2 linked regions of the Arabidopsis thaliana genome follow. The protein of the gene in region 1 purifies or fractionates together with the protein of each later gene. This does not show direct contact. Each region holds a gene or a part of one and is shown on either strand. Other genes may lie near its edges.

Region 1 (3,757 bases):
TGTGTTTTCACCGGGCTAGTCTCGATGATGACTGGTAACGTAGATGTTGCTGCTCGTGAATTACTAATTGGATTCGTATGAGAAAGAGAGTGTGAAGAAAAGATGAGGTTACTATGAGTGGTTAAGAAAGTTGTGTTCTTCTCCCTCTTTTTGTAAAGCTTTGTATCACTCAATGTTTGTAAAAAGTTTTATTCATCACTGTGAATCTTTTCCTGAAACTAAGTGCCAAAATATTTTGTTTCGCATGTTTAGGAAAAAGTTTAATTCATCATTGTGAATGTTCCCTAATCCCTAGATTAGCTTCGAGAGATTAACAAAGAACGGTTCAACTGTAACACGTGGTCATGAAATAATGTCCGAAGGCCCTTCAGATAATAAAAGCCCATGAACTTCATAAGGGTAGAAGCGTAATTTTAAAAGAGACCCCTTTCATATATATATCCTTGCGATTATTATTAGCCGTCATCGTCTAGGGTTGGTTGTTCTGCAATTTAGTTTTTTTTTTTTGTGTTTTTTATAATCTGCAGCATCGTTTCTTGTAATCTGAGGAATTGTTTTTCAGACTGCACGATCGTTTAATTTTGTTACGTTGGTTGTTTCTTTGAAGTGAAAAACGGCGAGGGATGATGATTCAATTAGATGTGCGAATGGTTTCATCATGAGCTCAAAAACTTTATTTGGCATTTTATAATCTGACTTCGCCGTCAACTCTTTTTTCTGTAATTTGGAGGAATGGTAAATGGATGATGATTCAATTAGATGTGCGAATGGTTTCATCATGACCTCAAAAACTCTATTTGGCAATTTATCTGACATCTCCCATTTCTCTATGTTCAATCCAATATATCTCCTTTATGTGGTTTTAACTCGATATTGTTTTATTGTCTGCGAAATGTTTGATAATGATGAGTTAACTTTTATAGAGTGTTACATAATTATTTTACTTATTCATATTGTAGTTACGCCATTGAAAAACAGTTTGATTGTTTATCTGTTTGGAGTTTGCGTTGATATATGATGTTTATCCCTTTTGTAATGATGTGACTTGCAAATTGCTATGTAACCTCAAGATTAAGCATAGAGTTATTTATTTCGAAGTTTACTAAATTGCATTAAGTAATTTTGTGGCCTTGTGATTTAATTAAGAGACCCATGTTCATTGGATAAAAAGCACTATCTTACAACAATGGTATATTAATAAAGTGAGAATGCTACCTTTCTTGTAAGGTGGTTCATATAAAATATAAATTCAAACAAAAAACGAACGACCAATCTTTAATCGTTTACATGAACTGTGGTGTGCTAATAAGGTGATAACAATATTTAAACGTTGCTTTGACTCCCTTAAAAAAGAAAAGAAAACCAATTATAGGAAGAAATCAAACTCCAAACTTGTCACTAATGGGAAGAAATAAACCAGTAATTAAAACTCGGACCTTGTCATTAAGTGTGTGAAAGGCGTGAATCTTCACAATCCTATAAGACAAAACCTCCTTATCCACCGTTAGATTTAAAGTTCATCATCCAACGGCTAGAAGTCTAATCCCGCTAATAATTTGACCGTTGCGATTATGCTTTTAATGGCTCCTCCTCTCTTCTCTATCCCTTAAGCGCTCTCTCTCAAATCTCAATCATCCTTCTTCTCATCTAGAAACCCCTTATCTTGGAGTAATCAGAGAGTTTGAAAACACCAGAAATCATGGCGACAGGACCAGTTGTTCATCCTCAACCAGTTAGAGGTTTGTTTCTCCCCTCTGATGAATCTTTGTTTTAACTCTAGGATCTGCATAAAAACTCTCATCTATGAATCCTTTTATTTAGATGTTATCAAAGATTGCTTACAAATCTGTTTTCCAAGGATCCAAATCTTGATAGGTTGCTTTTTGTTAAAATTTATCAGGTGATCCCATCGACCTCAAAAACGCAGCAGCAAAGAATCGTCGTGCTCTTGGCGACATTGGAAACGTCGATTCTCTTATTGGAGTCGAAGGAGGAAAGCTTAACCGCCCCATTACTCGTAACTTTCGTGCTCAGTTGCTAGAAAACGCACAAGTTGCAGCCGCCGCTAACAAAAAGGCTCCGATTCTTGATGGAGTTACTAAGAAACAAGAAGTTGTAAGAGCGGTTCAAAAGAAAGCAAGAGGTGATAAGCGTGAGCCGTCAAAACCAATCGAAGTGATTGTGATAAGTCCTGATACAAACGAGGTTGCTAAAGCTAAAGAGAACAAGAAGAAAGTGACATACTCTTCGGTTCTTGATGCTCGAAGCAAGGTAGATTCTTTGTTCAACATTGAAAGCATAATGTGCAAAGTTCTGATTATTTGGTTTTGTGATTGGTGTACACACTTAGGCTGCTTCTAAGACTTTGGATATTGATTATGTCGACAAAGAAAATGATCTTGCTGCTGTGGAATACGTTGAGGATATGTACATTTTCTACAAAGAAGTTGTGGTACACTTACAGTGAAACCTTCTTTTGTTTATGCTTATGGATAAGTTATGTGAATGTCTTCTTTAAGTTTGTTGTTTTGTTCTTTGTTGCAGAATGAGAGCAAACCTCAGATGTATATGCATACACAACCTGAGATTGATGAGAAGATGAGATCAATCCTTATTGATTGGCTTGTAGAAGTTCATGTCAAGTTTGATCTCTCCCCTGAGACTCTTTACCTCACTGTCAACATAATTGATCGTTTTCTTTCTCTGAAGACTGTGCCTAGAAGAGAACTACAGCTTGTAGGTGTTAGTGCTTTGCTTATAGCTTCGAAGTACGAAGAAATCTGGCCTCCTCAGGTCAATGATTTGGTATATGTGACTGATAACTCCTACAACAGCAGACAGATTCTAGTGATGGAGAAAACCATTTTGGGGAATCTTGAATGGTACTTGACAGTTCCAACACAGTATGTGTTCCTTGTGAGGTTTATTAAAGCCTCGGGTTCTGACCAGAAACTGGAGAACTTGGTTCACTTTCTAGCTGAGTTGGGTTTGATGCATCACGACAGTTTAATGTTCTGTCCTTCCATGCTTGCTGCATCAGCGGTCTACACAGCAAGGTGTTGCTTGAACAAGACTCCTACTTGGACTGATACACTGAAATTCCACACAGGCTACTCCGAATCTCAGCTCATGTTAGTCTTCTTAATTCTTTACACTAGCAAGTTTGTGATCATATTGTTTGTATATTAATTCTCTATGTGCGTTTCTGTGTGTAATCAGGGATTGCTCAAAGCTTTTAGCTTTCATTCACTCGAAAGCGGGGGAGAGCAAGCTACGTGGTGTGTTGAAGAAGTATTCGAAACTTGGAAGAGGTGCTGTTGCTCTGATTTCACCAGCCAAGTCTCTTATGTCATCTGCTCCATGAACAAGGCTTGAAAGATGGCTCTCTTGCAAACTCTGCATTTTAGATTCTCTATCTTTTATCGTTTTATATGTAAAGGTATTGGTTCTTGTTGAGAAATGATGTTTCCGTATGAATTCAAAAGTATTATAATGAAATTCTTCTTCTCTTCTATAATCAGAATCGTTTTGGTCCTTTTTCCCATCATATTCTTTAACTATGGAGTCAAATTCAAATTACATAGTTATCTGTTATAACTTGAAAACTTCTTTGTTCTTCATAAGACCAAGTACGATGGTACGATCAAGGTGAAGTTGTTCACATTTGTCAAATAATAATTTCCAATAAGAAATCTGGTGAATTTTGTTACTTGTCAAAAAAAAATCAAGAAAATTAACAAGACTAATAGTAATAATC
Region 2 (3,630 bases), on another chromosome or scaffold:
AAGTTTTATCTAGTTCGATTTGTCATTTTCCTTACCAATTAACACAACACATAACATATATAGATAGATTCACATTATAAAACAAAGACAAAACGACGTCGTTTTCTTAACGGGTGTGGGATTAGTCGGGTAAATCACAATAGCGGTATAATAAACGCGGATTTGTGGTTAATCTCGGTTTAATGACCGGTTCAATTGAAATCATATTTTTAAGGATGAATCTGAAAGTACATGTTGCAATTTTAAGAATTATCAAAGTTTATGGTGAAAATTTTAGGAATAAAAAGTGTGGAGGGGGGAAAGCTGAGAATGCAATTAGTTTATGGCTATAAAATCAGTCAACCCTTTTCTTAACGGATATAGGTGAGTAATCGAGTAAATCGCAATCGCGGTACAGTAAACGCGGATTTGTGGTTATTCCCGGTTTAATGACTGGTTCAATTGGAAATGTATGTTTAAGGATGAATCTGAAAGTACATGTTGTAATTTAAAGAATTATCAAAGTTTATGGTGGAAATTTAAGAGGCAAAAAGTGTTAAGGTAAAAGCTGAGAATGCAATTAGTTTATGGTTATAAAATCAGCCAACCCAAACAAAATTGCATCTAAACTCATCATGAGGATAAAAAAAACGATTAACACATTGATGTTGAATCTCGATATTGGCCTTAGTTTATCAACAGTCAAATACATAATGAAATGAGCAATTTTCTTTCTAGCTATTTCAAATTACATAATGCTTACAACTTGGAGCACTTAATCCACCATCAGGATTATTAATACACTGCTACTATATTCAACTATTGATTTTTCCATAATGGACTAAGCAATGGAAAGAAAAAACCCGGTGATGGCGGTGGTAGCGATTCGTTACTACCGCCTAAAAACCGAGGTGAAAATGCAAAATTGGGTGAGAACAAAGGAAATGGTGATCTTGGCTGCGGTGACAAAGCAAACTGTGAAGCTGGAGACTGGAACGACATTGGATTAGGACCGGTTTGATGTGACTGAAATAAACCGGTTGATGGTTGAACCGGGTTTTGGTTTTGTGGCTGCACTCGGTTTCCGACAGGGCTTGATTCGATTAGGTAACGCATATAGGCCGAGATGGGAGATTCAGCCGGGTTACTCGAAAATTGGTTAACAGGCTGAACCGGTTCAGATGCAATTGGAACTGATTGAACCGGCGGTGGAGGTGGAGGTGGAGGTGGAGGATGGTTGAGTTGGGTCAAAGGAGCCGGTCTAACTTTAACCAACCGTGAATTTGGAGGTTTTGGATGGTTTGTTTGCGGAGGATTGACGGAAGAAGTTGAACCGAGTCCGGTTAGCTGCTGAACAATGGATCTGAAATCGGTTTTGTTGATGTTGTAAACCAAAGCTTGAGGGTTTTGTTGTTGATTTTGTTGGTTTGGTGGATCTTTACGAATGTTTTTTCCCATCTTATTCACACCAAGATGATGATGATGATGATCATTATTATGATTATCATTACCACGATTACTCTGATCATCCATTATTAAAACTGAAACAAACAAACAAAACAGAGCAAATCCAAATCTTGGGAAGAAAATATTAGAGAAACCACAAAGACTTAAACCACAAGAAGATTTAAACCAAGAACCTCTCTAAAACAAGTAAAATCAAGGGTTTTATAACAAACCCTTTTAACGAGAAAGAGAACTTACGCGTTTTCTGAATTTGACTGGAAAAATGAAGATTGGAAAAGAAGAAACAAGAGAAGAAGAACAAAACAAGAGGCTTTAAAAAAGAAACTTTGACTTTTTGTCTCTCTTTTTCTCTCCATTAAGTTGTTAAATCTTAATTTAAAACTAGTTTCTGATAACTATTCGATTTTTTACTAGATACAACCAACAAGTGGATTAAAATTAGGAATTTAGGATACATACGTAAACAAGTTGAGGATTAGTGTTTATAATATGACTAAAGACTAAAGTTGATTATTTAGGAGTCGTATTTTTTATACCATGGTTTTACTACGATTGATCAGACTAAAGTTGATTATACAAGTGTTGATAATCTAATAGATCGTCGAAAAATTGTAGAACTGTTACATCTCTTATCGTTAAACTAGCGATGTGAAATAGCTGAGAATATTGTTTTAGTAACGTTGATATTACTTTATGATTGGTGTGATTGTTAAAACCGTATATCTTGTATTGCAATGGTATAGTTTGTACTATATAGCGATATGCCGATATGGATAACGATTAAAGAAACGAAGCTATACCACAAAAGTATATGTCATGACGATTCGAAACAAAATCTGCCATGTCAATTGTGTATTAATTATTTCGAAATTACGCAGTGCGAAAGTAGGCCCAATTGTAATGATGATTTACTTAACTTTTAAGTCGAGTCATAATACTCTTAGAGAATTAGAGATAAGTTTTCTTGTTTCTCTTATGATTGATTTTTTGTTGCTTTGTTGGTTACTAATAATTTTCTGAAAGATAGCAAAAGCTTTACTGCTTATGCAATTTGGCTATTTAGATGGAATAGTATACCACCAATAAGGATGATCTCTCGTGTTACGCAAGAAACTCGAAAACAGATATGAAAACGATTTTAGAAAAGAAACAAAACACTTTAATGAAATTACGTTTTCATTCAAAGACAAAAAAGAAACATAAAAACAAATATTCAAAGAGAACAAAACGTGACAAGTAATAAATCAATGGAAACGTTTTGTCGTCCAAATAATACTATTATACATCTCACATATTCTATCACGATTATATAATCACGAATCTGGATTTGAAACTATATGTAATCAGCTTTATCCTCTCACATTTATATAAAATCTCAGAATCATGATCAATCATTGATCATATATTCATATGTTAATCTTCCTTTTTTCTTCTATTAATCCTTGATCTCTCAAATTCTCAAAACTCCAATTCCTTCGGACTCCAGTGCTCCTTACGAGCTTTGGTTGTTCCGGCCGGGTTGGTACATTGCTAGGGCTAGAACCAACAGGACCACTTAGCCTAACGTGATGAATCTTTTTCACCTTCTTCATCTTATGCGCTAAAGACGATCCTGGCCGTCCAATCTTCTCATAGATCCTAGGACTCAAATTCCCTGACCAATTTCTCCCACCAATAGGATTTACACAACATGTTTTACCTAGAACATTGTTAATCTCGACCCTTGGTGGTCCAGGACCGGAGAGATCAACATCTTTGTTGGAATCTGTTCGTGGAAGGGCTTGACATGATAGACAATTTAGGCTCATGGCTTTTTTGCGATCTCCTTACGACAATGGAGATCAATAATGAGCGAGAGAGAGACAAGGAAGAAGAAAGAGAGACTATATGGTTTTATTTAGTTAGTAATATGTTTCTTGTTTTATTTTAGTAAAAGACTAACGAGAACTAATCTAATTTTAGTGAAAAGTGTATATTTGTAAATTCGATTTTGGGTAACACACACGTTGCATGTGTAAGTAGGGATATCGCCTCACACGTTAATTAACAACTATAACCTTCATAGAAATGAGAGAGTTTTCTGTCTTTGGTCGTTGGTTATAATCAAAGACAAATTTTGTAAGAATTAACAATAGTTGTTGTCATATATATTTTCATTACAAAATTATAGTGTGAACGAATGAG

Evidence for each region.
Region 2: the proteins of CYCB1;3 (region 1) and AT5G46780 purify together in Arabidopsis thaliana (affinity purification with mass spectrometry, with the first as the bait; one large-scale study listed by BioGRID). This does not show direct contact.

Annotation. Positions count from the first base shown.
Region 1 is NC_003074.8:3,625,082-3,628,838, reverse strand, and holds CYCB1;3 (CYCLIN B1;3), read left to right. Parts: upstream 1-1,565; 5' UTR 1,566-1,699; coding exon 1,700-1,739; intron 1,740-1,900; coding exon 1,901-2,271; intron 2,272-2,350; coding exon 2,351-2,452; intron 2,453-2,544; coding exon 2,545-3,131; coding exon of another isoform or gene 3,132-3,189; exon of another isoform or gene 3,190-3,219; coding exon 3,220-3,364; 3' UTR 3,365-3,553; downstream 3,554-3,757. Other genes in the region: AT3G11530 (Vacuolar protein sorting 55 (VPS55) family protein), read left to right, coding at 1-38.
Region 2 is NC_003076.8:18,977,118-18,980,747, reverse strand, and holds AT5G46780 (VQ motif-containing protein), read right to left. Parts: upstream 1,796-3,630; 5' UTR 1,513-1,795; coding exon 799-1,512; 3' UTR 565-798; downstream 1-564. Other genes in the region: AT5G46770 (uncharacterized protein), read right to left, coding at 2,853-3,254.